Cricetulus griseus: one gene and its partners. The protein of the gene in region 1 purifies or fractionates together with the protein of each later gene. This does not show direct contact. Links are inferred from orthologs where the notes say so. Each region holds a gene or a part of one and is shown in the gene's direction. Other genes may lie near its edges.

Evidence for each region.
Region 2: the proteins of Bcl7c (region 1) and SWI/SNF-related matrix-associated actin-dependent regulator of chromatin subfamily E member 1 purify together in Homo sapiens (affinity purification with mass spectrometry; 5 studies listed by BioGRID and IntAct, counting the BioPlex papers as one, with this or other methods). This does not show direct contact. The link is inferred for Cricetulus griseus from reciprocal best matches to the Homo sapiens genes BCL7C and SMARCE1.
Region 3: the proteins of Bcl7c (region 1) and Actl6a purify together in Homo sapiens (affinity purification with mass spectrometry; 3 studies listed by BioGRID and IntAct, counting the BioPlex papers as one, with this or other methods). This does not show direct contact. The link is inferred for Cricetulus griseus from reciprocal best matches to the Homo sapiens genes BCL7C and ACTL6A.
Region 4: the proteins of Bcl7c (region 1) and Smarcd3 purify together in Homo sapiens (affinity purification with mass spectrometry; 3 studies listed by BioGRID and IntAct, counting the BioPlex papers as one, with this or other methods). This does not show direct contact. The link is inferred for Cricetulus griseus from reciprocal best matches to the Homo sapiens genes BCL7C and SMARCD3.
Region 5: the proteins of Bcl7c (region 1) and Smarcc1 purify together in Homo sapiens (affinity purification with mass spectrometry; 4 studies listed by BioGRID and IntAct, counting the BioPlex papers as one, with this or other methods). This does not show direct contact. The link is inferred for Cricetulus griseus from reciprocal best matches to the Homo sapiens genes BCL7C and SMARCC1.
Region 6: the proteins of Bcl7c (region 1) and Arid2 purify together in Homo sapiens (affinity purification with mass spectrometry; 3 studies listed by BioGRID and IntAct, counting the BioPlex papers as one, with this or other methods). This does not show direct contact. The link is inferred for Cricetulus griseus from reciprocal best matches to the Homo sapiens genes BCL7C and ARID2.
Region 7: the proteins of Bcl7c (region 1) and Smarcd1 purify together in Homo sapiens (affinity purification with mass spectrometry; 5 studies listed by BioGRID and IntAct, counting the BioPlex papers as one, with this or other methods). This does not show direct contact. The link is inferred for Cricetulus griseus from reciprocal best matches to the Homo sapiens genes BCL7C and SMARCD1.

The regions. Positions count from the first base shown.
Region 1 is NC_048596.1:73,056,787-73,061,397, forward strand, and holds the start of Bcl7c (B-cell CLL/lymphoma 7 protein family member C), read left to right. Parts: upstream 1-1,454; 5' UTR 1,455-1,702; coding exon 1,703-1,794; intron 1,795-2,266; coding exon 2,267-2,345; intron 2,346-2,734; coding exon 2,735-2,843; intron 2,844-2,920; coding exon 2,921-3,085; intron 3,086-4,611. UniProt on the Homo sapiens protein: May play an anti-apoptotic role.
Region 2 is NC_048600.1:113,358,284-113,362,344, forward strand, and holds part of SWI/SNF-related matrix-associated actin-dependent regulator of chromatin subfamily E member 1, read left to right. Parts: intron 1-2,571; coding exon 2,572-2,744; intron 2,745-3,446; coding exon 3,447-3,548; intron 3,549-4,061. UniProt on the Homo sapiens protein: Involved in transcriptional activation and repression of select genes by chromatin remodeling (alteration of DNA-nucleosome topology).
Region 3 is NW_023276806.1:116,635,398-116,639,458, reverse strand, and holds part of Actl6a (actin-like protein 6A), read left to right. Parts: coding exon 1-3; intron 4-1,042; coding exon 1,043-1,104; intron 1,105-1,319; coding exon 1,320-1,434; intron 1,435-1,668; coding exon 1,669-1,749; intron 1,750-3,448; coding exon 3,449-3,544; intron 3,545-4,061.
Region 4 is NC_048601.1:97,911,477-97,916,315, forward strand, and holds the start of Smarcd3 (SWI/SNF-related matrix-associated actin-dependent regulator of chromatin subfamily D member 3), read left to right. Parts: upstream 1-1,626; 5' UTR 1,627-1,778; coding exon 1,779-1,856; intron 1,857-4,566; coding exon 4,567-4,778; intron 4,779-4,839. UniProt on the Homo sapiens protein: Involved in transcriptional activation and repression of select genes by chromatin remodeling (alteration of DNA-nucleosome topology).
Region 5 is NC_048597.1:217,699,052-217,703,112, forward strand, and holds part of Smarcc1 (SWI/SNF complex subunit SMARCC1), read left to right. Parts: intron 1-228; coding exon 229-405; intron 406-2,784; coding exon 2,785-2,879; 3' UTR 2,880-4,061. UniProt on the Homo sapiens protein: Involved in transcriptional activation and repression of select genes by chromatin remodeling (alteration of DNA-nucleosome topology).
Region 6 is NC_048595.1:392,800,737-392,804,797, forward strand, and holds part of Arid2 (AT-rich interactive domain-containing protein 2), read left to right. Parts: intron 1-67; coding exon 68-264; intron 265-627; coding exon 628-3,470; intron 3,471-4,061. UniProt on the Homo sapiens protein: Involved in transcriptional activation and repression of select genes by chromatin remodeling (alteration of DNA-nucleosome topology). Required for the stability of the SWI/SNF chromatin remodeling complex SWI/SNF-B (PBAF).
Region 7 is NC_048595.1:396,147,911-396,151,971, forward strand, and holds part of Smarcd1 (SWI/SNF-related matrix-associated actin-dependent regulator of chromatin subfamily D member 1), read left to right. Parts: intron 1-175; coding exon 176-311; intron 312-1,960; coding exon 1,961-2,083; intron 2,084-3,241; coding exon 3,242-3,343; intron 3,344-3,465; coding exon 3,466-3,519; 3' UTR 3,520-4,061. UniProt on the Homo sapiens protein: Involved in transcriptional activation and repression of select genes by chromatin remodeling (alteration of DNA-nucleosome topology).

The DNA.
Region 1 (4,611 bases):
CTTCCTTGCAGCCCCAAAGGTGATCACAGTCCTGACCTCTCACACCATAAATGTGTTTGCTTTCTGAATTTATACGGTAGAACTTTCTAATGCATGATGTCACATCTGGCTTCTTTTATTCAAGATTCATCCCCAGGGGCTGGAGAGATGGCTCAGAGGTTAAGAGCACTGACTGTTCTTCCAGAGGTCCTGAGTTCAATTCCCAGCGACCACATGGTGGCTCACAACCACCTTGAATGAGATCTGGTGCCCTCTGCTGGCATACAGGCAGAAGACTGTATACATAAGAAATAAATAAATAAAAATCTTTAAAAAAAAAAAAAAGACTCATCCCCACTGTTGGGCATAGCAGGACTTTGATCATTCTGGCTGTTATATCTGTGTCCATGGTATAAACAGGTTGTAACTGGTTTTTCATTCCATTCTGCTGAGGAGTTGCTTCCCGGTTGGTGTTATGTGTATACCAGTACACATGTCTTGGTGTTCATATAGAAGCATTTTGTCCTAGTGAGGTTTCCATTGCTGTGATAAACACCATGATTAAAAGCAATTTAGGGAGGCAAGAGTTTATTTCAGTTAACTGTTACAGTCCATCGTGAACGGAAGTCACGGCAGGAACTCAAAAGCAGGAACCTGGAGGAAGGAACTGAAATGGGGGCCATGAAGGAACGCTGCTTACTGGCTTGCTCCCCATGGCTTTCTCAGCCTGCTCTCTTAGAGTACCCAGGACCCATCTGCTCAGGGGGTGGCATTGCCCACAGTGGTCTAGGCTTTCCCACATCAATTATTAATCAAGAATATGCCCCACAAACTTACCTATGGGGCAACACGATGGAGGCATTTTCTCAATCAAGGTCCCTTCATCCCAGATGGCCCTAGCTTATGTCGAGTAGACAAAAAACTAGACAGCACCCATTTCTTCGGTTGGGCGTTGACAGCTTGGGACTGGAATTGCTGGGAGACCGGGTTGGCATAAGTTTAGCTTCCCTGGAGAACTGCCAGTTTTCCAAAGTATCTCTACCAATGACACTCCCTGACTGAAGGAATGTCGAGGTGTTCTGCTACCTCATCTACACGGTCTGTCTTTTCCACTTCCGCCATTCTGGCTGAGGAGGCCGCTCCCCACTCGAAAGTCTGCCACGCACTTGGCGCTGTTAATGAGACTTGGATGAACGGGTGAACAAGTTAAGTTGGGCAACGTAGGATCGAACAGCCTGGAGAGGGCGGACGCACGCACACACAGCATTTCAGGGACGCCCACCCGCCGCGGACGCACACCAGGACAGTCCCTCTCGCGCACCCCTGTGCCCACGTGGCCGGAACGCACCGCCTCGCTCGGGCCGCGCGCGTCCAGCCGCACAGCTGCCCCCCAGCTCTCCCTCTCGGCGGCGGGCAGAGGGCGCTGTGCGTCCGTGCGCCCCGAGGGGCGGGCCCGGGCCGGGGCGGGGCTGGCCGGGCTTCCAGGCCGGGGCTCTAGCCGCCCGCGCCGCCCGGGCCGCTCCGGGGACGGGCCGGGGCGGGGCGCGGTCGCAGGAAGCCAGGCGGGGACGCGCGGAGGCGTTGGGGAGCGAGGGAGGGCGCGGCCAACTCCCGGAGGGACGGCAGGCCGAAAGAGCGGCGCCGGGGCCTGGCGCGCAGCCTGAGATCGCCGGACCGCAGGCCGTCCCACCACGGGCTCTATCCCGGCCCCAGCCCCGCCAGCATGGCCGGCCGGACCGTGCGGGCCGAGACCCGGAGCCGGGCCAAAGATGACATCAAGAAGGTGATGGCGACCATCGAGAAGGTCCGGAGATGGTGAGCGCTGCCCCTGGGCCAGGGACACAGCCAAGCCACCTCCTCCTAAAGCGTCCGCCCTTTCCTGGCCAGCTGCCCCCGCCCACCAGCTGTGCTCTGAATCGACTGGGCTCCCCCTTCCCCTGGCAATTCCCAGAGGTCTACAAAGCGTGGTCCGGAGTGGTGCTTTCCCAGAGCGGGAGCCCTCATCTATGCCCCGCCCCCTGGAGCTTTGACACTCTTGCAAGCTCGGCCCCGGGTCTTCCTTGCCAGAGTCCCTGGCCCAGGCCTTGGTGGCGCCCTGCCGAGTGCTCCAGGTGTCTGCAGAACCGCAGCTCTAAGTTATATCCGTCTATGTCCTGGGCTTTGCAGGGCTCTTTCTGCTTCTATGCCCTGAAAGCGAAGCTTCCCTTACCCTAGCACATCTCCCCGGCCCCCTGCTGTATGGGGCTCAACCTTCACCTCCCTGACCGGGTCTCCTGCCCTCTCACAGGGAGAAGCGCTGGGTGACTGTGGGTGACACTTCCCTTCGAATCTTCAAGTGGGTTCCTGTGGTGGATCCTCAGGAGGAGGTGAGCAAGCCCAACCCCCAACAGACCTTGCATCTGTGCAACCTCAGGCAATTTCCCTCCCCACCTTGGCCTCCACCTTAAGTCGCTTGGAGTCTCCAGTGTGGAACTCAGGCAGATGGTAACGATTATTAGCACACACACATGCGCGCGCGCGCACGCACAAATACATACATACATACATACATACACACATACACACACACACACACCACACACACACACCAGTGCGCCCCGCCCCCCCCCCCGCGCCCCGAGTTCAAGACCTAACTCAGCCCACACAACCTGAGACAGCCCCTCTTGCTTCCCTGAGCCCAGGTTTCCTTATTTATATTGAGATTTGTAAGCGCTCACCAGACAACGGGCTCTTACCTTACCACTCTAACCCTCAGGAGAGGCGTCGGGCAGGAGGCGGGACAGAGAGATCCCGTGGCCGGGAGAGACGCGGCAGGGGCACCAGTCCCAGAGGGGGTGGCCCCCTCATCCTGTTGGACCTCAATGGTATGTACAGATCTTGGAATGGGGAGGTAAGGAAGCTACTGGGGCCCCTCTGGCCAACAACTCGGCTTTTGCTTCAGCAGATGAGAACAGCAACCAGAGTTTCCATTCAGAAGGTTCACTGCAGAAGGGCACTGAGCCCAGCCCTGGGGGGACTCCTCAGCCCAGCCGTCCTGGGTCCCCGACTGGACCCCCAGAAGCTATTACAGAGGATACTCAGCCCCCACAGTTGGGCCAAGAGAGAGGTAGGACCAGGTGGCTCTCAGGAGCCCTCTCCTCTTCAAAGTTGAACCCACCATCTTGTTCTTGTTCCTCTGTCATGTCCTTTCTCCCCATCCTGCCCTGCCCACCCCCAACCTTCCCTGACCCTGGCAGAAATTACATCTAGCTGCTGTTTCAGTCCTCTGGCTTCTTAGATTTGTAGGTAGCACATCACCATCTGAAATTTTTATGCATATTTATTTCTTTGCTTGCTTATTGTCTTTTCCTGTTACCATCTCATGTCAGTCATGCCAATCTCGCTCATTACTGTAACATCAGAGTACTGTGGGATACATAATAGATGTTCAGGAAATACTTGTTGGGGGAATAAGTGATTCTGATGATCAGAGAGATTAATAGCTGTAGAGTAACGGCTAGCAAAGCCCCTTCCCCGCTAGGTGTTCTGAGCACTTCAACGTTTGTTTTTTGTTTTCTCGTTTAATCTTCACTGTCACTTTATGGGAGGATGATCCTATTACGATTGCTCTTTATACACGAGGAGCCCGTCATCCAGAGAAAGATGTCCAGACTCACAGAGCCAGTGAGCCAACACCTTGGGCCTGAGCCCTCTTCAGCCTCTCTCTTCATATAGTCGGTCCTTTGTCTGGTCAGTACTGCTTCCCAAGTGTGGCTGATTTCTGTGCCTCGGGCCCTGCCTTCTCACTTCTTACTCTGCCTGCTCTGGCCTCCCCGCCTGTCCCTAGTGGTCTCCACACAGCTGCAGAACAGCTTTTCCTGAAGCACAAATTCAAATGATTATTTTTCTGCCTCATCTCTTTCAGTGGCTCCACATGGCCTTTGGTTCGTTTTGTTTTGTTTTGTTTTGTTTTGTTTTGTGGAGCGGGGTTCGAGGCAGGGTTTCTTTGTGGCTGTGGAGCCTGTTCTGGAACTCACTCTGTAGACCAGGCTGGTCTCAAACTCAGAGATCCACCTGTCTCTGCCTCCTGAGTGCTGGGACTAAAGGCGTGCGCCACCAACACCCAGCAGCCTTTGGTTCTTTAGTTTGACACTGGGGCCATACAAACCGTTACCACTGAAATCGTTCCCCCGACAAGAACACCACGACATGGGCGGGCCTCAGGACCATGTCTAGATTGTTCCAGATACCTTTGCTAATGTGAAATGATAGGATGCAGCTCAGTGGTAGAGAGCTTGTCTGACATCCTCATTTCTCATACCACAAAAATGAATGAATGGAAATGCTAGCTAGCACCTACCGAGCACATACTATGTGCTAAGGGCTTTACCAGTATTGCTTCATTTCATCCTCATAGCCGTCTCTTGTGGTATTACTGTCACTGTTCCCATTCTGCAGGTGCTTTAGTTGAGGCTCAGAGAAATAGTTTGCCTAAGGCCAGGATTCAGATTTAGTACAACATAGAAACTGTGGTTACTAAGCATAGAATTTCCCTCTACCTAAATTCTGCTCTACCTCTGCTTGTCTCCTGGCTCACTCCTTATGAACAAAATCCAACCTGAATCTTCCTCCCTGGGCATCTTGGTGCCCTCC
Region 2 (4,061 bases), on another chromosome or scaffold:
AGCAACTACCAGCCACAAAAACACCAAGATCATAATTTAAGATCCCACTTTAAACACACCAGAGGGAGTTCTTCAGAACTTTAAAAAGATTTAAAGAGTGGAGGAGGTTATAATGGCACCAAGACAGGAGTAAATTCAGCTAAGTAAGAGGAAGAATCGGAAGTGAGCTTTGAAAGGATTCATTGGAGTTACTGGCAAAAGTTCTCATAAATGCAGTAGAATGTAATAAAATGTAGACTAGAAACAGGAATTGAGTGTTAAGCATTCACATTGCTAAAGATATATGCAGACTTTAATTACCCAGATGAAATAGTTGATGCAAGAAAGACATGACTAAAACTATAGAGGAGCAAGTCTGCAAATAACTGGGAGAATGGAGATCTATGTGGTAGAAACAAAGGTTGGCAACATAGAAGCCATATGTAGAAAATAAAATATTTCCTAAGCAAAATGTAACAGTCAAAACTAAGTTTGAAAGGCTCTTACATGAGCAGTAACATGGAATATAATAATTAAGCTGTATTGATATAATATGACCTTCTAGGACAGTGGTTCTCAACCTTTCTAACATTTTGACCCTTTAGTAAAGTTTATGTGGTAACCCCAACCGTAAAATGATTTCATTGCTACTTCATAACTGTAATTTTGAATTACAGTTATTTTGTTATTGTTATTCATAATTGTTATGAATTGTAATATAAATATCTGATATGCAGGACATCTGACATGTGACCCTGTGAAAGGGTCCTTTGACGCGCACGCATGCGCGCGTGCGCGCGCGCACACACACACACACACACACACACACACACACACACACCCACCCACCCCAGGGAGTCAAGACCCATAGGTTGAGAACCACTGTTCTAGGACTTGAAAAGTAGAAATGTAAAGAAAACCGAAAGATAGGAGCCACTCATCAAGAGATGAGGACAGCATCTGCTAACTTCTTAGAGAACTATCAGAAGGCCCACAAGGCAGAGCTTGATTCACCAAGACGGTAAAGGTCTTCAGAGACCATTATGTTCAACGTGCAGGCCTTTGTGTAACTGGGTTCCTTAAGCGTGACACCTAGACCTCTGTGAGACACTAAGAGGATTGGGTGGTTCCGTGACAACCTTTATTTCTATCTATATTGGATGGAAAACTTGCTTTGTTTAGTGAGTTAATGTAAAGAAAAATATTAAGTAGCTATTAGTACAGATGGCTACCAGGTATTGAAGGTGATAAAGCAGATAAAGGAAACACTTGTGTTACTAGAAATACGCATACATGCTGGGTATGGTAGTACACACTTGCCATCCCAGCACTTTAGAAACTAAGGCAGGGAGGCTGATGAGTGTTCAAAGCCAGCCTGGGCTACACAGTAAATTTTGTGTCAGAAAAAAAAAAGAAAAAAAAAAAAATCACACCCTGGGCTCAAGAGATGGTCCAGTAGGCTGAAACAGGCATGCATGCATCACACACCAAAATAACACAAATGTCTACTCTGTGCCTAGTAACAGCCATGTGCATGTTTATAAATTTAGACTCAAGTATCTCTGAGTGTGTAGTGTGTGTCCGTGTGTGTGTCGATGTTGGGTCTCTTCCTCAGTCTCCACCTTTTTGTGGGCATATGTGGGAGTCAGTTTGCTTCCTCAGTTTCTTTTCTGCCTTACTTTGAGATAGAGTTTCTCTGAACTTAGAACTTGCTGTTTTAGCTAGAGCCTTCTGAAATCTGCCACAACCAGCATTTCCTTAATGCTGGCTGGGATCCAGATTTAGATCCTCGTGCTTGCCTGGCAAACCCTTTATCAAGTGAACCCTCTCCTAGCCTTGAAATCAAGTTGTTGTTTTTTCTATAACATTAGTTTGGGTCTTTACCATTTTTAATGTAATAAACCATAAGTACTGCCTGGAAAACAAAATATTGCTAGAGAAGATGGTGATAAGCTAATTTTTCAGGTGGATATTTTCATTAATTTTAACAGCTGTGATAAAGATACCACCTATTTACAGTTCAGCATTTATCAGATGTCTGCGGTCATTACTGGAGAGTGGAATATTTGGCAGAATTTCAAGTGCTGTCATCACATGCAGGCTTCACATGGATCCCAGGGCTAAAAGAGATATGGACATATGTTGTTTGTGTTCTAACCAAACCTCAGACTCAAATCATCCCTTAGTACAGTGGTTCTCAATCTTCCTAATGCTGCAACCCTTTGTTAATACACTTCCTCATTTTGTGACCTCCAACATAAAATTATTTTGTTGCTACTTCATAACTAATTGTGCTACTGTTACAAATCACAGTGCAGACATCTGATATGCAACCTGTGAGAAGGTCGTTCAGGTGCCCAACCCGGGGTTGTGACCCATGGGTTGTGAATCCTGCCTTACTAACTTTATGGAGACAACATTTCAGCTGGCTGAGTCTTCTGTCTCTGTGTGGTTCTAACTGTGGACCTGCCCTACTCCCCTGATACTGAGCAAGTCCACTTGCTAGGACATTGAAGACCACACTTGATAACTGCTTCTTAACATGGTTGTGGTTACTGGCTACCTAATTTCTAGAATATTTCCTTCATCCAGATTATGATGATGGCTTTTCGATGAAGCATACAGCCACCGCCCGTTTCCAGAGAAACCACCGCCTCATCAGTGAGATCCTCAGTGAGAGTGTGGTGCCTGATGTGCGGTCGGTTGTCACAACAGCTAGAATGCAGGTCCTCAAGAGACAGGTCCAGTCTTTAATGGTTCATCAGGTAAGGGCAGAAGAGCTTTTGTTATAATAAAAGGAAGCTGTGCCACACATCCCAGGTGACATGGCTCTGACACAGTGTGTAAGTAAACCTGTGAAGTCGTGTCATCCGTGCCTGACTTGAGAAAGAAGCTTAAGGGAGAGGGCCATTCCAGATGTTTAGTAAGTTTGTCATTGAAAATTGTAAATATAACATTGTAGTGACAAGTATATCTTTTAAAAGATGGGTGCAAACTAAAGAATTTGGGGGCACCCCATCAGCCTTTGCTCTATTACTATAAAATGATTTTCCCAAAGAATTTACTCATTAACATAGTGTTAATGGTAGTCTTTCCCTGTGTTACATTTTTAAAATAATAGCTAGATTTTATACTAGATGATTTTTTTTTTTAATGCAAAATTAGTGGGCTAGAGAGATGGCTTAGTGGTTAAGGGTATATACTGCTCTTCAGAGAACCTGAGTTCAGTTCCCAGAACCTGTGTGAGGTGACTCACAACCACCTGTAACTCCAGCTCCTGGGAACCCAACACCCTCTTGTGGTCTCCCTGGGCACCTACTCTTGTGTATATACCACATACACATAATTAAAAATACAAAAGTGTACTTTAAAGCATAAGCTAATTTTAAAATGACATTCTCTGTGTGCTTTACATCTGCCTTAGAGAAAACGTATAATGGTTCATAATCTGGTCTGATACCTTGCAGCGAAAACTAGAAGCTGAACTCCTTCAGATAGAGGAGCGACACCAGGAAAAGAAGAGGAAATTCCTGGAAAGCACGGATTCCTTTAATAATGAGCTTAAAAGGGTACCTATTCCATTCACTGACTGCCTTTATCATGTGCCTGTTACGTCACAATGTAACTTGTACTGTCTTTATAAAAGTGTTCCCATTTTCTGGAAAAATTACAATAAATTTGAGGTATCGTGTAGTATACATTTAAGGAGTAGGCCCACAGACAATAGAGCCCGCTAATGCTTTTGTTTAAAATCTTTACATCGTGAATTATTTTCACTTTATTGTAATTTATTCATAGATGTTTTCATTAGAACTGTAGTTCAGTTAGGGGTGGTGCTATGTACCTTTGATCCCAGGTAGAGGTAAGAGAATCTCAGTGAGTTCAGGGCCAGCCTGGTCTACTTAGAGAGACCCTGTCTCAAAAAAAAAAAAAAAAAAACTTAAAAAATGAATTAATGAATTGAGTAATGGAGTGTTTGGTAGATGAAGGGTGAGTGAAACATCCTAAGGCCAGCCCAGTCCTAGGCAGTGCTCCCAGCAGCCCCTGCGCTTCAATGTCTGGTGTGCTACTAGAGCAGCTTT
Region 3 (4,061 bases), on another chromosome or scaffold:
AATGTGAGTAACCCCTATTGTCTTTATAGAGTGTTGGTTCTAAGTTACATGTTTTTAACATTTGACAAAATGAATACCTTAGGGGTGGGGAGCACTTGCCATATTATCAAAGCAGTCCCTACAGACAAATATAGCAGCTTGAATACATGGAAGAGGTTTTGGTTTTAGGGTAGAAATAGTTTTAGCACACTATTTTATAATAGTGTGCTATTATAGCACACTATAGCATTTTTAAGATGCTTTTAACTGAGCATGAGTTTGAGGCCAGCCTGGTCTACAGAGTGAATTCCAGGACAGTCAGGGATACACAGAGAAATTCTAAAAACAAAAAAGAAGATGCTTTTAGTTCATGTCAAACTTAGTATAACTTAGGTATGATTTCTTCTCTAGCATTAATTAGACATTCAGGAGTATGTCTCATTGCTTCAACAATGAGTCAATGAGACTTTTTACTGAAAATCTGTGTCTGAATATGTAGACCTATGTGGGTGAGAGGTTGGTATATTTGCCATTCCATAGATTCTAATTTCTAGGAGTAAAGGAATATGAAAGCCATAATTGACTAAGTGTATTCTGAGAGCATGTTGCATCCAAGTTTATATGTGTTAGAATGTGTGCTGATGATTCTGTGCAGACATCAGACAAGGTTTCCCATGTCAGCCTGTAGTCAATAGAAATTTCTGTGTGTGAGATGTGACCTGTCTGCATGTCACATATTCAGGTGATAAAAATCTTGCTTTTAAAATCAAGGAATTTTTAAGGAAAAGAATGATGGGGCAGTGGTGCAAGTTCCTGGTTGTTTTTTAATCTTTGTTATTCCATAAGTATTGTAATTGAAATGTACTTAAATTGTTTAATTGCAACTACAGAAATGAGTTTAATTTCTGTTCTAAGTTGTAAATCCCAGGTAACCATAGAATTGGGTGTTTTGATACTCACTTAGCTATGTGAAGCTGATCTGATGTCATTCACAGTCTGATACATAGAGTGCAGGTTACACAGGCAACTTTCCACCTTGTTTCTTTCTTCTCTCTGTCCACAGTGTGTCATCCAGGATTTTCAAGCTTCAGTCCTTCAGGTGTCAGACTCCACCTACGACGAACAGTATGTTTTCTCTGTGACTGTACTTCAGAAATAAGGGATTTTGTTTGTTTACAAACAAAGAGTTGAAGTGTGTGTAGCCTAAAAACAAAGTATATTCTGATGCTGTTCTTAGGTATTTGTACTCTGACTCCTCACAGATTGATAATTCCTTATAGGTGGTTTATCGTTTGAATAGGGTTAGTTACTTTTTGTGAAATACTGTTTGCTGTTTGCAGAGTGGCTGCGCAGATGCCAACTGTCCACTACGAATTCCCCAATGGTTACAACTGTGATTTTGGTGCAGAGCGGCTAAAAATTCCTGAAGGATTATTTGACCCTTCCAATGTAAAGGTGTGAAGCCAATTTCATATGACTTTGATAAGGTCGTGTGTGTGTGTGTGTGTGTGTGTGTGTGTGTGTGTGTGTGTGTGTGTTGTGTGTGTGTGTGTGTGTGTGTGTGGTGTGTGGTGTGTGTGTGTGTGTTTATATGACCATTTCATGCAAAGTGTGGCTTTCCTGTGTGGAGAACTTAGACTAACTTTGGCAATAGGAATTTCCATGTGAACACTTGCACTCTCGTTCCAGGGATTATCTGGGAACACAATGCTGGGAGTCAGTCATGTTGTCACGACAAGTGTTGGAATGTGTGACATTGACATCAGACCAGTAAGTGCCAGTCTCCTGTTAAACTGTCTCTTATGGCAGTGAAATGTCCCACCCAGATTAGGGCTGCAGCTTTGGCCACTAGCCTTGAGGGCTGTTGGTAACCATGTGTAATGAGATGGACACCAGGAAAGGGGTGTGGGACCAATGACACCCAGTGCCCCTGACACTCAGCTCAGATCTTGAACTGCACTCTCTTTTCTGTGAACATGGTTTGTAGGTGCTCTACTGGACAGCGTATTCCTAGAACACTTCCATCTTTACAAAGTTTCTTTGGACATTGCTGCTTCAGATTTCTAAAATGTAGTAAATCAAAGTACACAGAAATTGGTGACTTCTTGACATTTGCTTGTAGTTTTCAGAAAGGTGTGGTTTAAAATATGCAGCTTTTACATGGATTATATTAATTATTTTTGTATTTGTTCTGTCAAGTGTTAAACTGTTGGTATACTATATTGACTTGATTATATACTGTACTTACTTAGATTAGTTATAATTTATTAAGCTATAGATTTATTTCATAATCTACTTTGTTTACAACCCACATACTACCTTGGTTTTCTTCAAGTTAATTTGCTTAACGTATGGCATGAACAGACTTGAGTGTATAAACAAAGTACTCACAAAAGGTTTTTGAGTGACCATGAAAATAATATCTTTCAAGTGACCTAGCAACCTGTACCACTTCCAGGACAGTGGAAGTGTTAGTTTAGAATTTTCAAAAACATGATTTTTTTTGTGTGTTATGTATGAAGGGTCAGTTTTGTGAACATCACACGGGTCTCAGGAATCAAACTCGTGTCCAGACACACATAGCCATCACCTGTAACCCACTGAGCTATTTTTCTGCTTTAAGTTTTGAAATTTTTTTTTTTCTTCTGTGTAAGGGCAAGGAATTAAATAAATTTGCAAGAATGGGGCTGTTTGTACTGAGATTGTTTTCTATTTACTTAATGTTAGCAGGTGGGTCCCAATTTTGCATTTTCTGTTTCAAAACTTAGATGACTTTTAGATGCTTGGGATAGGTTTTAAAACTAGGAACACAGTTAAAAGTTAAAAGAGAAGGCTGACATTTACATTTTGATAAATACATGCAAATCAGGAATAAATATATCCCTATGAATATGAAGTTGTTTTATTTGGGAGGTGCAGCCTGTGTTCTTAAATTTTTGCAACATCCCCACAAAAGAGAAAGAACAAAGGATCATTATCTCTCATGATCATAAAACAATTGTCTTATTTAAAATACCATGACTTCCAGATGAATACAGATAAGTATCAAATATACCTCTATCATTAGTTTCTGTCTGCCAATAAGAATTACAAATTGAAGAATATTTGTTCTAAGTTAGTGGCTCTGGGCTGGCAAGAAGGCTCAGTGTGTAAAGGTGCTTGCCAACAAAGCCTGTTGACCTGAATTTGATCCCCAGAATCCACATACTGGAAAAAGACCCACTTTTCACAAGTTCCTCTTATCTCTACACAAAAACTATGACATTCTCTCTCTCTCTCTCTCTCTCTCTCTCTCTCTCTCTCTCTCTCTCTCTCTTTCTCTCTCTCTCTCTCTCCCATACCCACATACACACACACACACACTAAATAAATAAATTGGGAAAACAATGAAGTTGGTAGCTGGGTCCAGCTACCAAATGATACTATAGGGTTATTGGAAACATTTGGAAATGATACGTTTCTCTTCTAGGGTCTCTATGGCAGTGTGATTGTAGCAGGAGGAAACACGCTAATACAGAGTTTCACTGACAGATTAAATAGAGAGCTTTCTCAGAAAACTCCACCAGTAAGTTTTTTCTGTTCTTTGTGTTATTTAGTTTTGTGGAATTTATTAGATAATTGTGTGCCTTTACAGTGTGAATAATATCTATTATTAATCAAGATGTCCTACGTAACACCTATTGTTCCTTTTCTATTACTTGAATCTCTTTAATGTTTATGTGTGCTGTGTGCACATGTGTGGGTACATTCTCCCTGCATGTTTGTCTGGAGGCCACAGGTGAAATTAGGTATCTTCTATCTCTCCACCTTATTGGCACACATAGACATTGACATATAAGTGGGCACCCAAGAATGTGCATTCACATACACTCACAGGGCAAATGGTAATTTTCAAAGGAGAGGAGAATCTGGAGGGGTAATTTACATACATTAATATAATACCAGGTGTAATAGGCTTTTAATGGTGTTATGTGTGTCTGTAGAAATTGTCTGTTTTTGGCTACTCCTGTTTTACACATGCTGTATGTTTATAGTTAGAAGTGCTATTTGGGTGTCTATACACTTCCATGGTTGACATCTGC
Region 4 (4,839 bases), on another chromosome or scaffold:
AGGCATTACACGGTGGCAGAAGAGCCTCAAGGCTAGCAGATGAGGGAGGGTTCCCACGCAGATCATCACTAGAGCTACCTTTATAGCCCTGGCTGCTGGTCAGCCCACCGTGAACCAGTGTCTGCCACACCATCTGAACAAGGCGTTCTCTCTAAACCTTTCACAGTGACAGTGGGCGCCTGAAAGGGCAATGACAGCTAGGCACACTAGCAGGACCTGCAGGAAACTAAGGTGCTGGCCCAAAAGACTCCTGGGAGAACATTCCCTCTGTTGCTTGTCCTGGCCAATGAAGACATTCTGCAGGGCCAAAGGTTAGGCCCCCTCCGTGCAATGCTGGGTCCTGAGGGCTCAAATTTTAATGTGTTCCCACAAATTCCCTCAGGCCTTGTCCCTCCCTCATCCTAGTTCTGACAGCTGCCGTCCCAGGAAGCCCATAAGTGTGACCCTTAGTTGTCCCAAAGCCTGCGGGCTCCTCCTCCAGAAGGTGGGAACAGGCGTGGCTTCTGGCATGGGCGGGGCCTGAGCTCAGCCTAGGGATCTCCTTTCTGTTCTCCCTCCACTCGGGGGTCGGCCAGTTCTCTCCCTACGGTCCTTTCCGGGGCTCCCTCATCCTCTCCCACTCCACACTCCTGCTTTCTCTTCGGTCCTGGAGCGGACCTCAGCCCCCCAGCCCCCCTGGGTCTCCATGCCAGAGCCACCAAACCTTGTTTGCTCACTCTTTCCTCCTTACCCACCCAAGTACGCATCCCGGCTCGGCACGATTCCCCACACTCACTCTTCCTGTGCTCAGGAGCCCAGTCCATGTCCCCTTTTCGGAAAGACTTTCCCCGGTTGCCCTCACTTTCCCACACAGAGGCAAACAAAGACTCACGAGCCCAGAAATAGCCTCCCTCCGAGCTGGAAGGCACAGGCCGTGTCCTGCCCCGCGCGCACGCACGCTCGCACGCTCGCACGCGCAGGCACGGCGGCTCCCGTGGAGGGAGCACACCGGTGCCCGCACATAAACATCCACACCCTCGGCCGCTGCGCCGAGCCACAAAAGGGTGCAGACACGCGGAGCGCGAGGCACGGGCACACCCACGGCGGCCGGCCCTGGACGGCTGCAAGGCCCGCTCCCGGCTCGCCCGCCCCCCCGCCCCCGGATTCCTTCCAGCAAATGTTTCCCTACTTGGCCTGCCCGGTCCCTGGGGAAAGGGCCTCAGAAATGCTGCAGGAGCCACTTGGGGGAAGAAAGTTGGAACTGCCCGTTCTCTGCCTGGCCCTGCCGGCGAATTCCCCAACCGAGAAACTGTTTGTGGAGAAAGAAGGCAGGGTGGCGGGCAAGCCCCCCCCCGTCCCCTCCCTAGACTGTCCCTCCCCGTGCCGCCACCGGCGAGCCTCCGGCGGCCTGGGCGCTCGCTGCCCGCCTCGCAGCCGCTGGGCGGACCGGCCTGGCTCGCCGCGTCTCTGCGCCGTTTGGACCACGCGGGTGCACGGGAGGGCTGCTGTGTCCCCGCGCGTCGCAGGCAGACCCCGGGCCGCCGGACTATTTCTGTCTTATCAGTGCAGGAATGCGGCAGCCGCGGCGGCGGCGGCGGGCGGCGGCGGCGGGCGGGCGGCGGCGGCTTGGGCCGTGGGCCGTCAGGGCAGCCCTGAAGGGGCCCCCTCCCCACTCCGCTCGAGTAGAAGTGTGAGAGAGCCCAGCAGGACTCAGAGGGGAGAGTTGGAGGAAAAAAAGGCAGAAAAGGGAAAGAAAGAGGAAGAGAGAGAGAGTGAGAGGAGCCGCTGAGCCCACCCCGATGGCCGCGGACGAAGTTGCCGGAGGGGCGCGCAAAGCCACGAAAAGCAAACTTTTTGAGTTTCTGGTCCATGGGGTGGTGAGTGGGGGAAAGTTAGCGGGGGAGGGCGAGCGAGCTGGCTCGGGCTGAATGGAGGGATGATCGGGAAGGGCCGCCGGCGCGCTCCCGCTCTCCCACCCCTTTGGTTGGGGGGCGCACGGTCACGGCCCAACCCTGGGACCTTGCCGGCGCCCTGGCATCCGAACACGTCGCCAAGCGGTCGGCTGGGGATGGGCGCGCGGCGGCAGGGAAGAGAGGCGTCGGCTTGGGCTCTTGTCAGGGGCAAGGGGTGGGATGTGGGCACCGTGCCCCCCAAGAGGTGGGTCCCCTCTGTAGCTGACACGTCGCCCGTTCTTTTTTACTGGTGGGCCCAGGTGTTACCCCTGCCCTGGGGTGGGGGTGGGGTGGCGACTGGAACACACAACTAGGGTTGGGCTGCCTGTTGTCCTGTTCATCCACAGGGGCAGTGTCACTCTGACTGGGTCTGAGGAACTAGGAGCAGGTGACCCTGGAGGCACCTGAGAGCAAAAGCTCCCTGGCTGAGCAACCTCTGCAGCCTAGCAGGAGGGTCCTGAGGACTTGGCCCTGCTGTCAGAGCTAAGAGAGGCCTACTTAAGAGATGGACCCCAAGTTAAAGGGGTCAGGGGATCCCTTGGCAGGCTCAGCCACCAGAAGTTGATGACCTTAATACCTCAAAGGTGTGAAGGGATGGAGTTGGGGACATGAGGCCTAGAGATCAAAGGGTTAACACTATAGTGTCCTGCCACAGACATGTGAAGGCACACGAGGGACCTGAGGGTTCCAGGGACCTGAGGAGGGAGATGACTGGGTTGAGTCAGTGGAGAGCCTGGCTGTAAGGCGCTCCAGGCTTGGGGATATGTGATAGAGGGAAAAATCAGTCAAATTTACTATGGCCAAATTTGGTTGTGACTCCAAGAAGCACCTCCTCAGTGAAAGAGGCAAGGGCCCCCAAAACCTTGACCTCTTGTGATTGTGGTGCTGGTGGCAGAGCCCCTGGAAGCCCCTTCCTCTCAGTAAACCAGACAGTGTGGGTGGCCTTGATGAGTAGCAGGGCAGCTGATAGGGAGGAGGGCTTCCCTGTGGCAGCCTGCCCTCTAGCCACAGGGATCTCTGGGGTGCAGTTCCCAAGGCAGTCCTGTGGGTTAGTGGAGTTACCAGTCCTAACCTAGCTGCCTGGGGGAGTTGCTTTACAGAGTCCCATTCAGTGAAGAGGAGGCTGCCCATGTGGATTTGAATATGGCCAACTTGGAGGGTCAGTCCTTGAGTGATCAAGGCCCCCTTATTAGTAGTGGGGAATGACTAGGCCTGGCCTTCCACCCTGGTGGCACTGGTGGTATGAGTGACAGAGTCAGGTGGAATGGGGGAGGCAAACTCAGGAACTGGCCGGTTACACTACAGAAGAGATGGCCAGGGACAGCTGCTGGTAGAGGGTGGTAGAGGGTGGAGACCTTTGGTCTGAGCAGTCGGGGTTTCTTGGTTCTGGGGTGAGATGAGGAGTATTTTGTATTTGTTTATTGTGTATTGAGGCAGGGTCTCCTGTAGCCTAGGCCTCGAACTCACTATATAAGGGAAGATGGTCTTGCTCTTTCTGTCCCCACCTTGAGATTGGGATTACAAGTGCAGTTTCTTTGGTGCTGGGAATCGAACCCTGGGCTTCACATGTATTGGGCAAGCACTACACCAAGCTACATCCCTAGCCTGAGATGAGGGTGTGTAAATAGTAGGGTCTGCACCCCCACATCACCTCCTTGTTCCTGGTTAGCCCCTAAACCTCAACTCCCTTTCCAGGCCTGGACAAGTGGACTCTGGAACACCCCGCTTGCGTTTACACCTCTTCTGTTTTGATTGACTGCCCAGAGGTGGTGGCTGGGGAAATACAACCTGCCTCATTTCCCTCCAATTTGTACCCTTACTAGGATGGGGTGGGTACTGGGTTCTCTCTCTGATGTAGGCAGATGGGAGGGAGATGTGGCTTCCTTCAACCATCCCTGCCCTCTGGCAGCCCACTTCTAGTCCAGTTCCCCACTTGCCACTCGGAAAAGCTCAGACCCTCGGGTGCCTTTGCCCAGCCTCTTGTATCACCTTGGGAGAAATGAAATTAAGGAGGCAGACTAAGTCAGAGACCTGGAGTCAGCTGAAGGGGTTATTTGAACACCAAGGGTCCAAACCAGGGGTGCTGAAAGGGAGATGGGGGCTCACATACAAAGCCCCAGAAGTGGGCTGTAGAAAGCAGGAAAGCAGCGGGGAGCAAGGCCCGTCAAGGTGCTGCCTTTGTCGGGATGAACGGGGTGACCTTGGCGAGGTCGCTTTTTCTCTTTGAGCCCCAGTTGCCCCATCTGTCAATTGGGGATAAAAAAGACCGGCTCTGGCTGGCTTGCAGAAGACCGTGCCTGCCGATGTGAACATCCTTTGAAAGGTTGAAAGGCGCCATTAATATTCATTTTTGCGGTACCTTGCACGGCTCCGAGGCTCGGCTATGCCCTGGGCAATTGCCTGGCTTCAGTTAGCTTCCTGCAAGGAGCCGGCGAGCCCCCTCCTCCAGAGCCACGCAGATTCCCGCGCCCCCGCCCCTCCCACAATCACTCCCACTCCTCGCTCAGCGCAGGGTTACCAGCCCCGGGTCTTGGAGAGGGGCGGGGACACAGCACGCTGGCCTGGGGGTCGGGACCGAATCTGACCTGTCGGCGCCGGTTTCTGCTTCACCTCCCGCCCCACCCCACCCCCCCAGCGCCCCGGGATGCCGTCTGGAGCCCGAATGCCCCACCAGGGGGCGCCCATGGGCCCCCCGGGCTCCCCCTACATGGGCAGCCCCGCCGTGCGACCCGGCCTGGCCCCCGCGGGCATGGAGCCCGCCCGCAAGCGAGCAGCGCCCCCGCCCGGGCAGAGCCAGCCACAGGGCCAGGGCCAGCCTGTGCCCACCGCCCCCGCGCGGAGCCGCAGGTGAGTGCCCCCCCACCGGCGTGGAAGGGCGTGCAGGGGCGGGCAGGCAGAAGCCTCGGGG
Region 5 (4,061 bases), on another chromosome or scaffold:
TTTTTCTATATATCCCTGGTTATTCTGGAGCTCACTCTGAAGACCAGGCTGGCCTTGAACTCAGAGATCTGCCTGCCTCTCCCTCCCTAATGCTGGGCTTAAAGTCATGCACCACTACTGACCATGACTAAATAAATCTTCATCTATATAATCATGGACATTAAGTTGGTTATTTTTTTTTCCTCTGAATGCATGTATACTTACAATACTTTAAATCTCCCTCCACAGGTCAGATACCGGGCCCTGGCTCCATGATGCCTGGGCAGCCCATGCCAGGCCGCATGATTCCCACTGTGGCAGCCAGCATTCATCCTACTGGGAGTGGCCCTGCCCCTCCTGGTATGCCTCCAATGCCTGGAAACATCTTAGGACCCAGGGTACCCCTCACAGCACCAAATGGCATGTGTAAGTAGCACAGTGGGAAGATATTCCTTCAGCATCCTGCTTAGGGTGGGGCTGCTGATCAGGAAGAAAGGCTTTCTTCTCTTCTTGTGATGTAGCAAGCACAGACAGTCCAGCCTTCGACAGTGAGCTGTGGATTAGATTAAACCTGACTGGTTTGAATCTCCACTGACATGCATAGCTCCTGGCTGTTATTTCCTCTACAAAAGCTTTTATGCTGCAAGGTTAAAAGTGGTGAATTGGCTCAGAGGGCAGAGGCAGGGGGATCTCTGAGTTTGTGGCCAGCCTGGTCTATAGAGCGAGTTCCAGGACTGTTAGAGAAACCCTGTCTGGGGGGGAGGGGGACCCCTTGTCCTGCCTGAACTTTAAGTAGGAAACAAGAAGGAAGGAAACTTGATAGGAGTATTCATCCCTCTACTTCTTGACTGTAGATGAAATACAACCAGTTGACTTAGCAACCATGACTTCCTGCTGTAATGGACTGTGTTCTAGAACAACAAACCAAATTAGACATCTCCTTTTAAAAAGTTTAAGTAGGGTTTAGTAAAAATTATGAGAGATGTCTGGTGAGATGTTGAGTGGGTATAGGCACTTGGAGACAAACCTGATAGCATGAGTTTGATTCCTGGGAACCTGCATGTTGGTTAAGAGAACTTACTTCCACAGTTACACATGCTATGGCACAACTATGTATGCATGCGTGATACATACAGAAAATAAAAGTTCTACAGGGACCTACAAAATATTTTGGATGCTCTGTAACATTGCAGGGGGCTTCCTCGAAGGGAAGCTGTCTTCACACAGACACATGTACACCTTCCCTGTAAATCCCAGAGGCTAAGATAAAGTAGATACACAAAAGGAAGTCTTGGCTTCACTGAGTTTATAAAACCTGCCCCCTGTGAAGAATTGTTTCCCTTGAGCTTACGTTCAGATGTCATAGTAGAATTTGCTAAGAAAGTGCTTGTCCTGCCGGGCCGTGGTGGCGCACGCCTTTAATCCCAGCACTCAGGAGGCAGAGGCAGGCGGATCTCTGTGAGTTCGAGACCAGCCTGGTCTACAAGAGCTAGTTCCAGGACAGCCTCCAAAGCCACAGAGAAACCCTGTCTCGAAAAACCAAAAAAAAAAAAAAAGAAAGTGCTTGTCCAGCCATGTCCCAGGTAAGAAAGAACTGGCTTTCCAAGAGAGCTGGCCCAGTCAACCATCTCTGGTGGACAGATAATATCCCTGGAACTATCAATGGTCTATATGTTTTTTGACATTAGGGACCTTGGAGGAGCATGGAGTGTTTTACCTTATGGATAAACAGGTCTCTTGGGAATCAAAGCCTCTGGCTTGGTTCTTGGGCCCTGGACAGGCCTCACTGCATGAGTAGCTTCCTGTCCTCAGGGCTTAGTCTCCTCAAAGATCACAAAGGAGGAGACTATTAGATTCAAAGTGTTTGGAAAGCTGTAGAGGTTTGCTAGAAGCCTCTCAGGAGTGCGAATGGGTGAATGCCTGGTTATTGTAGCTATACTTTAATTATTTGTTTGATATGTTTTCATTTCTAGCAAGATCTAGAGGTTTTAAAGCCTTGGATTAAATGATCTCCAGGGTTTCTTTGTACGCTAAAGCTGCTAGAGTTGAAATAGAAAAGAACCCCAGACATTCATGCTAATTGTTCCCTTCAGGACCTGACCTAGTTTGGGCCAGAAATCCAAGGATGGCAGTTGAGGAGCTGTAAGGGCCTCCCAGGACTATCCAGCTCATCAGCAGGTGCCTGAGTGAACTTCTGTGGCCCTGGTGGAAACAGTTAATCAGCAAGAAGTTATTGATAATCTCTCCCGTGCCTGGCTAGGCCAGACACCCTGGAATAAAGAAAGATAAAGATATAGAGTTTGCCCATGAAGGCTCTGATTATTTAATTGAAGAAACACAATTAGTAGAGAGAAAAATTAGAATACAATAAAATGGAAAAACAATTCAGTTGGGGGAGATCTGGAGTGATTCTTGGAATGAGTGGTCCTTTGAGAAGGGTGAATGAATTCCGACATTTCCCTCTACTACTTGTTAGCACCATGAGTACCAGCTGGTTGGCTGCTGTGTACTTGACCTCTGAGCCCACATTGTTTGCCTGCTACAAAGAAAGTTACTTCCTAAGCTAGGCATGGTGGTACTTGTCTTTAATCCTAGCACTATAGCTGAGGCAGTCAAATATCTGAAATTGTGGCCAATCTGGTCTATATAGCAAGTTCCAGACCAGCCAAGGCTACATAGTAAAATCTTATACCCTCAACCCCACCCCCAAAAAAACCCACCTATCTGTCACTTTCCATTGAGTGGATGCTTTCTCAGGCCTTCCATATTCCCAACAGTGACGAGTTACCTTAAATGTGTTTGCAGATCCTCCTCCACCACAGCAGCAGCCGCAGCCTCCACCTGCAGACGGGGTCCCTCCTCCTCCTGCTCCAGGCCCTCCAGCCTCGGCCACTCCTTAACCTGGAAGATACAGGGAGCCTCCACACCCACCACAAGCTGAAATGGGGATGGCAAGACTTGTGTCTCAGCTTCCTTGGTTTTCTTTTGGGATTTTTTTTTCTTTTTCCTCACAGCCCCAAGCATGAGTCCCATGTCTCTCCACTCCCCAGTACTTTTTGTATCAAGTCCTTAGCTGGTACTCAGTGAGAAGCCTGTGGTGACTAGTGTGCCCTGATCATTTGAAAAGTAAGCCGTGTGCCAGGTGTTGGCAGTTGGTCTGCAGGTCCTGTTGACATTAGTATTGTATGTCTCTCTGTGTTTTCTCTTATGCTTCAGTGGATAATTCTCAATAATTACTATCCTTTCTTCTCCTATTGTTTTTAAGGAGAGCATCCTCAGTTAATAGAAACCAAAAAAAAAAAAAACAAACAAACAAACAAAACTGGTGATGGGCAGGAGACAGTCACAGAGGGCGGGGACACCTTAAGGCATCATAAGTGACCTTATTTCTACTTTTCTGAGCTAAGTGTGGTGCTACAGGTGAGGCCCCTGAGGTTTTACCTCACTAAAATGCACCCAACTGAGAAGAGCTGGGGAAGAAACAGGTATCCTGTTGCTTTTATTCCCCAGTGAGAACTGTGAAGGACTCCACTCTGTCTGGAGGAACACACCACTCTACCTGTATGTGGTACCAGAGAGCACAAACATTAGAAGATCCCATTCCTTCCTTTCCCCACAATTCTGGGTGTCGTGCAGATTTGCAGCGTTGGAACTGGGGTGGTTTTCCTAGGGGCTGTGTGAGTTTTAAAGGTTGGAATTTGGGGAGCCATTCCCTAGGTTTTCCCAGACTAGCCAGGAAAGTTAGAGTCTAGGGCCCCACCCACATACCTTAGAGTCCCCACCCCCACCCCACACACATCTCCCCACACCACCTCACATCTAGCTGAACTTTATGACTTTTTAAAAACTTCCTCCTATAAGAAAAGAAAGGGGGGAAACCTATTAAAATAGGTAAGTGCTAAATGTTTTATCTCATGAAACTCGGTTAGGTGGCTGGGGGTATTAGTCCCTAAACTACCTCTTGCTGTAGCCAGGGTAAATGGGATTCTTGAAGCGGTACTGAGGTTCAGAGTGGGGGTAGAGAAATGGGGCACACTCAGCAGCCTCCTGTTCCCTCTGTCCCCTCTGTCACAGGGTTGTAG
Region 6 (4,061 bases), on another chromosome or scaffold:
GAGCATTGCTGGGGGCAGTGCTGTACTTTTGTCCTGTTTTTCATAATTAGTGTGTGTTATTTTACAGAACAGTTTTTCCAAATCATACAGTGAAGAGAGTGGAGGATTCCAATAGCAGTGGGCAGGCACATATTCATGTCATAGGAGTGAAACGGAGGGCTATACCACTCCCCATCCAGATGTACTATCAGCAACAGCCAGTTTCCACTCCTGTTGTCCGCGTTGATTCTGTTGCTGATGTGTCTCCAACACCTTCACCTGCAGGTATTAACTTTCAATTTTAATATTCATTTATTATATATGCAGTCAGGTCTTGCTGTACAAACCATGCTGGCCTCAAACTTGGGGTCCTTCTGAAAGCTGGGATTACAGACAAATGGCAGTATCCCCAAGTTTTTCAATGTTTTAAGGATTGCTAGAATGTAAATGTGTATTTTGTATATTAAGTGATGGCCTTGCCCTGTGCTGTTTACAGTGTTTCTCATGGGTGTCACCATACTCTAATGTTTCCTGTCTTTTGGGCATTAATTTCTTTACACCCTTCCTCTTGTATTAAATTAGATAATAAGACATTTGACATCTTACAGTCATTTTACTTGTAACTTTTATTTTTCCCCATATATATAGGAATCCCTCATGGATCACAAGCTGTAGGAAATCATTTTCAGAGGACTCCTGTTACCAATCAATCTTCAAATTTGACTGCAACACAAATGTCTTTTCCAGTACAAGGTGTTCATACTGTGGCACAGACTGTTTCTAGAATTCCACCAAATCCTTCAGTTCATACCCACCAGCAACAAAATGCTCCAGTGACTGTCATTCAGAATAAAGCCCCAATTCCTTGTGAAGTCGTTAAAGCAACAGTAATCCAGAATTCTCTGCCCCAGACAGCAGTTCCTGTGAGTGTTGCTCTTGGAGGAGGACCTGCACAGACTTCTGTGGTTCAGAATCATAGTACAGGGCCACAACCTGTTACAGTTGTGAATTCTCAGACATTGCTTCACCATCCATCTGTGATGCCACAACCATCTCCATTACACACAGTGGTACCGGGACAGATACCTTCAGGCACTCCTGTTACAGTAATTCAGCAAACTGTACCACAGAGTCATATATTTGGAAGAGTACAGAACATACCAGCATGTACATCTACAGTTTCACAGGGTCAACAGTTAATCACCACATCACCACAACCTATGCACACTTCATCTCAACAGACAGCAGCTGGTAGCCAGCCACAAGACGCTGTTATCATAGCACCCCCACAGTATGTAACAACTTCTGCATCCAATATTGTGTCAGCAACTTCAGTACAGAATTTCCAGGTAGCTACAGGACAGGTGGTCACCATAGCTGGTGTTCCAAGTCCACAGCCCTCCAGGGTTGGATTCCAGAACATTGCACCCAAACCACTTCCTTCTCAGCAAGTTTCATCAACAGTGGTACAGCAGCCTATTCAACAACCACAGCAGCCAACCCAGCAAAGTGTAGTGATTGTAAGCCAGCCAGCTCAGCAAGGTCAAACTTACGCACCAGCCATTCATCAAATTGTTCTTGCTAATCCGGCAGCTCTTCCAGCTGGTCAGACAGTTCAGCTAACTGGACAACCAAACATAACTCCATCTTCTTCACCATCACCTGTCCCAGCTACTAATAACCAAGTACCTACTGCCATGTCATCTTCTTCCACCATGCAATCGCAGGGACCACCTCCTACTGTCAGTCAAATGCTATCTGTGAAAAGGCAGCAACAGCAGCAGCATTCACCAGCACCTCCCACACAGCAGGTACAGGTACAAGTTCAACAGCCACAGCAAGTACAGATGCAAGTTCAGCCTCAGCAAACAAATGCAGGGGTTGCTCAGCCTGCTTCCAATGAGTCTAGTTTGATCAAACAGCTGCTGCTTCCAAAGCGGGGTCCTTCAACCCCAGGGGGTAAGCTTATCCTCCCAGCACCACAGATTCCTCCCCCTAACAATGCACGAGCTCCTAGCCCTCAGGTGGTATATCAGGTGGCCAATAACCAAGCTGCTGGTTTTGGAGTGCAGGGGCAAACTCCAGCTCAGCAACTATTGGTTGGACAGCAAAATGTTCAGTTGGTCCAAAGTGCTATGCCACCAACAGGGGGAGTGCAAACCGTGCCCATTTCGAACTTACAAATATTGCCGGGTCCACTGATCTCAAATAGCCCAGCAACCATTTTCCAAGGGACTTCTGGCAACCAGGTAACCATAACAGTTGTGCCAAATACCAGTTTTGCAACTGCGACTGTGAGTCAGGGAAATGCAGCTCAGCTCATTGCTCCAGCAGGAATTAGCATGAGTGGAGCACAGGCAGGAGCCGGACTTCAGGTGCAAACGCTTCCAGCCGGACAATCACCATGTACCACTGCTACCCCCCCATTCAAAGGCGACAAGATAATTTGCCAAAAGGAGGAGGAAGCAAAGGAAGCAACAGGTTTACATGTTCATGAACGGAAAATTGAAGTCATGGAGAATCCATCCTGCCGACGAGGAACCATAAACACCAGCAATGGGGATACAAGTGAAAGTGAAATACAGGTGGGAAGTCTTTTAAATGGGAGAAAGTACAGTGACTCGAGTCTACCTCCTTCAAACTCAGGGAAAATTCAAAGTGAGACTATTCAGTGCTCACTAATCAGTAATGGGCCATCCTTGGAATTAGGTGAGAATGGAGCATCTGGAAAACAGAACTCAGAACAAATGGACATGCAGGATATCAAAAGTGATTTGAAAAAAACCCTCGTTAATGGGATCTGTGATTTTGATAAAGGAGATGGTTCTCATTTAAGCAAAAACATTCCAAATCACAAAACTTCTAATCATGTAGGAAATGGTGAGATATCTCCAGTAGAACCACAAGGGACTTCAGATGCTACTCAGCAAGATCCTGCCAAAGGTGATGAACTAGAAAGAGTTTCTAATGGACCTGTATTAACTTTGGGTGGGTCACCGTCCACAAGCAGCATGCAGGAAGCTTCAAGTGTGGTAACACAACAATTCAGTGGTACTGACTTGTCTAACGGACCTCTAGCTTCAAGTTTGAATTCAGATGTGCCTCAGCAACGCCCAAGTGTAGTTGTTTCACCACATTCTACAACCCCTGTTATACAGGGGCATCAAATCCTAGCAGTTCCCCACTCAGGATCTAGAGTGTCCCATTCTGCCCTATCAACTGATGTTCGGTCTACAAATGGCACAGCTGAATGCAAAACTGTAAAGAGGCCAGCAGAGGATAATGATAGGGAAGCAGTCCCAGGAATTCCAAATAAAGTAGGAGTTAGAATTGTTACAATCAGTGACCCCAACAATGCTGGCTGCAGTGCAACAATGGTTGCTGTACCAGCAGGAGCGGATCCAAGCACTGTAGCTAAAGTAGCAATAGAAAGTGCTGTTCAGCAAAAGCAGCAGCATCCACCAACCTACATACAGAGTGTGGTCCCACAGGTGAGTCCTTTTGTCTTGTTTGTTTCATTGAAATGCTGTCTGGAAACATTAAATGAATCATGTCTCAACTTAAGCAGTTATGGTGTCCGCTCATGTCTACGCAAACTTCCCTGTTGTGCTCTTTATTTATTAAACAGTTTTCAGTTCTTCACTCTAGCATTCAAGGTAAGGATTTTTTTTTTTTTTCAGTTTTGTATATGCAGTTTCACCTTGCATGGTAGATGCTATTATCTATGTACCTGACAGGAATGCCCACTGAGTGTTAGAAAATTCTAAGTCCCAACTCCACATGTTGGGATTTTTCACTTACATAATGTAATGTTTAATTTTTTAAAGTTTTACTATATATGAACTTCTCAATTCATTTTGATTATATATGTCTGATTGATTTTTCCTCTTGGAGTCTGTAAGAACTCTAAATAAAATGATAGTTAATCAGACTAAATTACAGAATAACTCTAATGTTAATAAAATTTACCCTCATTTTGTGTGTTTTAATCTTCCATTATGATGATCATTACACTATTCAAAAAGGTTAGCTCAGTAACCAAGAAGAACAGTGGAGTTAGCTGGTGTTAGGACCTCACCAAG
Region 7 (4,061 bases), on another chromosome or scaffold:
TTATAAATTATACCTATTTAAAGTGCAGGCATTCGGAGGTGCATACTCCATACAGCTCTCAGAGGAGGATGTAGACCATCTTCCTTTTCCCTTCATCCCTAGACCATCTTTCTGACCTTTGGCAAGCAGGAACTCAGAAAAAGCCCTTTACTGGACCCTGTTGTTTTCTCCCCAGTGTTGACCCAAATGACCAGAAAAAGACAGCTTGTTATGACATTGATGTGGAAGTGGATGACACTTTGAAGACCCAGATGAATTCTTTCCTGCTGTCCACGGCCAGCCAGCAGGAGATCGCTACTCTAGACAACAAGGTAGGGCCCCATCCCTCAGTCATGGCTTCTAACTGCCTTTTGGTTCTTGGTTTTAACTAAAAATATATTGATACCCAGAACCATCTATGTCAGGCTATCGCTATGTTTGGTGGTAATTGGAGGCAAGCTCACATGCATACATTTAATTCTGACTATTGGATGTTTGTGTTTTTGTTGTTAGCATTTTGAGTCAGTCTCTCCCTTGTAGACTAGGCTGGCCTCAAACTCATGGATGATATTCCTATGTCATGTTCCACAGTGCTGAGTTACAGATAGGAGCTGCTGTGCCCAGTTTGGGCAATACCTTTTAGTATCGTTGAGCCTCGGTTTCTGGTATCTGAAATGAAGACTATGTATGATACCTGTTTTTATGTGGTTTCTCTGTGTATGAAATGAGACCATGTTTTTAAATATTTGAGCCTGTACCCAGCATATAATTCCCACTGCTGTTGATGCTGCCACCATCATTACCATTAACATTATAGGCATAGTCCCTGCAGGCAAAGCCAAAGTGCTTTGTAAATACCATAGATAATGTAGAGGCTTTCCTGGGAGAATAGACACCTTAGGTAAATTTTGAAGGATGAAGTGGAAGTTAACAGATGGGGAGGAAGCAAAGTGGTGTTTGGGGTGTGGAAGGCCGAGGACAATCCAGAGAGATACGGGATAAGGTATGTAAAAACCCAAGGAGGAAAATGAGCCTGGTGTGGTCCCAGAAATACAAGCGACACCAGGCATGGTGGTTCACTCTGTAACCCTGGCACTTGGAGGCAGAAGCAGGAAGCAACACAAATTCAGGTCCAGTCTTGTGTACATAATGAGCTGCAGGCTAGTTAGGAGTACAGACTACCTCAGAACCAGAAGTGCAGAACTCTCTCATGTGTCATGCTGGACAGGACATGAGCTACCTTCCCGGTGTGATGTTCAGGCAGAGGAGGCTGCTAGGGAAGTGGGAACCTGGTCAGAAAGCTTCTGTATGGGGAGAACTTGTGCATACCTCCTGCAGGTGCGACACGGAGCCTATAGAAGCCTTCACCATGGAAGTACTAATGCTGTCTGTGTTAGTGGATGGGTGGAGAGAGTTGAAGAGGGGCAGCTCTGGAGCAAGTCTATTTCGGAGGCGAGACTGATAGTCTGTGTGAGATATGTCAAGGTTCTACACTAAAGGCTCAGACAGGGAGGACAGAGATAGGATTTGAGAATCAAAGTGAAATGAAGGAATGTACCCCCTGTTTGGGTGGGCCTAAGAGAGAAGACCTGGCTTGGGTAGAGAGTAGTCTCCACTAAGATCAGGAGGAGGGATTAGGGGAAGGATGACCAGGTTTTTTTTTGGGGGGGGTCCCTTTAGGGTGTCTTGAGATGCCAAGAAAGCATGTTGATTTGTTGGAACATGACACTCTGGACTGCCAGTGATAAAGTAGTCACAGTTTGTAGTGATGCATATTGAATTGGCTGAAAGAACAAATTCCCCTACCTGGGATAGAGAAGCAAACACAGGACTTTTTGTAAGAAGCCAAGGGTGAGGGCACCAAGTAGACACAGGGCAGCAGGCTCTGCACCTGGGGTGGGAGCAGCTGTGGCAATGTCAGCCTCTGTCTGCCTTTGGCTTGCAGTTTCCCTGGCTTAAAAATGGACCATTCTCCTTTCAGATCCATGAGACAATAGAAACTATCAACCAGCTGAAAACCCAGCGAGAGTTCATGCTGAGCTTTGCCCGAGACCCTCAAGGTTTCATCAATGATTGGCTTCAGTCCCAGTGCCGGGACCTCAAGGTAAAGAGCCTAGGAAGGACCCAGAGGGAATCCAGGAGAGCAGCATGGTTTGAAGAGCTAAGGGACCACATTCTTTTAGCATATCCCAGGGTCTGTTTTATAGTTGATAAGGGAAATCAAGGCAGAACCATCAGGTCTATAGTTAATACTTCCAAAGTATTGTCACTTGATTCCAGGCTGTTGGGTTAGAGCTGAAGATCTGGGCTCTCCTCTTCCACAGATGTGTTCCATTTGGAAAAAATAGGCTACTGTTACTAAAAATAGTGAACCATGGGCAAACTAACTGGAATTAGTAAAGTTGTTCAAAAGAAAGAGTAGTAGATGAATGGAGAATCCCTGGGAGACCATGGAGAATGGAGTTGAGGATGCTTCCCAAAGAAGAGCATCATACGCTCAGGCAGGGAGGTGTACCCGGGCAGCATCCTTGGCGTCCTGCCTTGCTGTGACTGCTGTGACTAGTGCACTTTTGAGCAGAGGAGCACCAGAAAGGGCCTGCACCTGGTGGTGACTCTGTGGTAGTCTGGGGTATTGTCTTTGTCTGCTGGGGCTTTTAAAGAAGCCTGACCCAGACTTGGTAGCTTCAGCAATGGGAGTTTGTTTCCCAGTGATGGAGACTGGAAGTCCAGAAGGAGAGCATCAACAGGGCTGTTCTGTGCTCTCCACTAGCTTCTGGGAACCACAGGTGTCCCTCAGTTTAGGCTTGAGACATTCTCCATGTGTCTTCATTGTGTCTTTGTGTCTGTCTCTATATTTCCCTCCTGTATAAGGGCACCAGTTATACTGCATTAGGGCCAATCCCAATGAGCTTATCTTAACTTGACCATCTGTAAAGACCCTATTTCCATATCAGGTCACATGCACAGAGGAATTAGAATTTCAGCATCCTAGCCGGGCATTGGTGGCGCATGCCTTTAATCCCAGCACTCGAGAGGCAGAGACAGGCGGATCTCTGTGAGTTCGAGGCCACTCTGGTCTCCAGAGCGAGTGCCAGGATAGGCTCCAAAGCTACACAGAGAAACCCTGTCTCGAAAAAACAAAAACAAACAAAAAAAAAAGAATTTCAGCATCTTTGAGGCAGGTGGCAAGGGACACAGTTCAACTGAAGAGCAGATGTGGAAGCAGGAATCATGCTTGTTCTCTTCTCCCCTTCTCTCTCAGACTATGACTGATGTGGTAGGTAACCCAGAAGAGGAACGCCGTGCTGAGTTCTACTTCCAGCCTTGGGCTCAGGAGGCTGTGTGCCGATACTTCTACTCCAAGGTTGGTGCTATGCCTGGGGCACACTAGAGAGATGACAAAAGACAGGAGTCTGTACCTTTGAATGGATGTCAGGGGTGTTGGGTTTTTCGATGTCTCAAGCTCCACTCCTGTTTTCTCTTCAGGTGCAGCAGAGGCGGCAAGAGTTAGAGCAAGCCCTAGGAATCCGGAATACATAGGGCCTCTACCGCCCTCACTGGCTGCACCAATTCTGTTGGGGCCCTGTGCTGCCTGCCTCAACATACCTGTGCTGGTTTTGCTTGAGGCATTCCAGGAGATGCTGTTGGTTCAAGGATAGCATCACGATGAAGAGGGTGTCACATTTCTGTTTCACAGGCACCTATTGTCCTCTTCTTCACCCCAGCCTTCCCCTTCAGCTTCTCCCCACGAAGTTCCCATGTGCCTCTACCTCCCTACCCCATCCCTGGTCTACATAGGACCTCTAGATAGTGTTAGAGAACCCATAGTGGTAATCAATGCTCTGAAATGACTGGGGCCTCTTGAGGCCAGGTGGTCTTCAGGGAGACCAGCTACACTGATCCTGCCCTTAGGAGGAGACCCAGGTGTTGGGAGCTGTCCCCTCCTCTGAGACTCAGGCCTCGGGCACTCTGTAAGCTAGTTAACCTTAACCCTCCTGGTGACTCATCTTCCTCCCTTCCCTCCACAGGTTGGAGCATATTCTCCCTTTACTCTTTGCCCTCTGGCACTAAAGGAGCCCAGG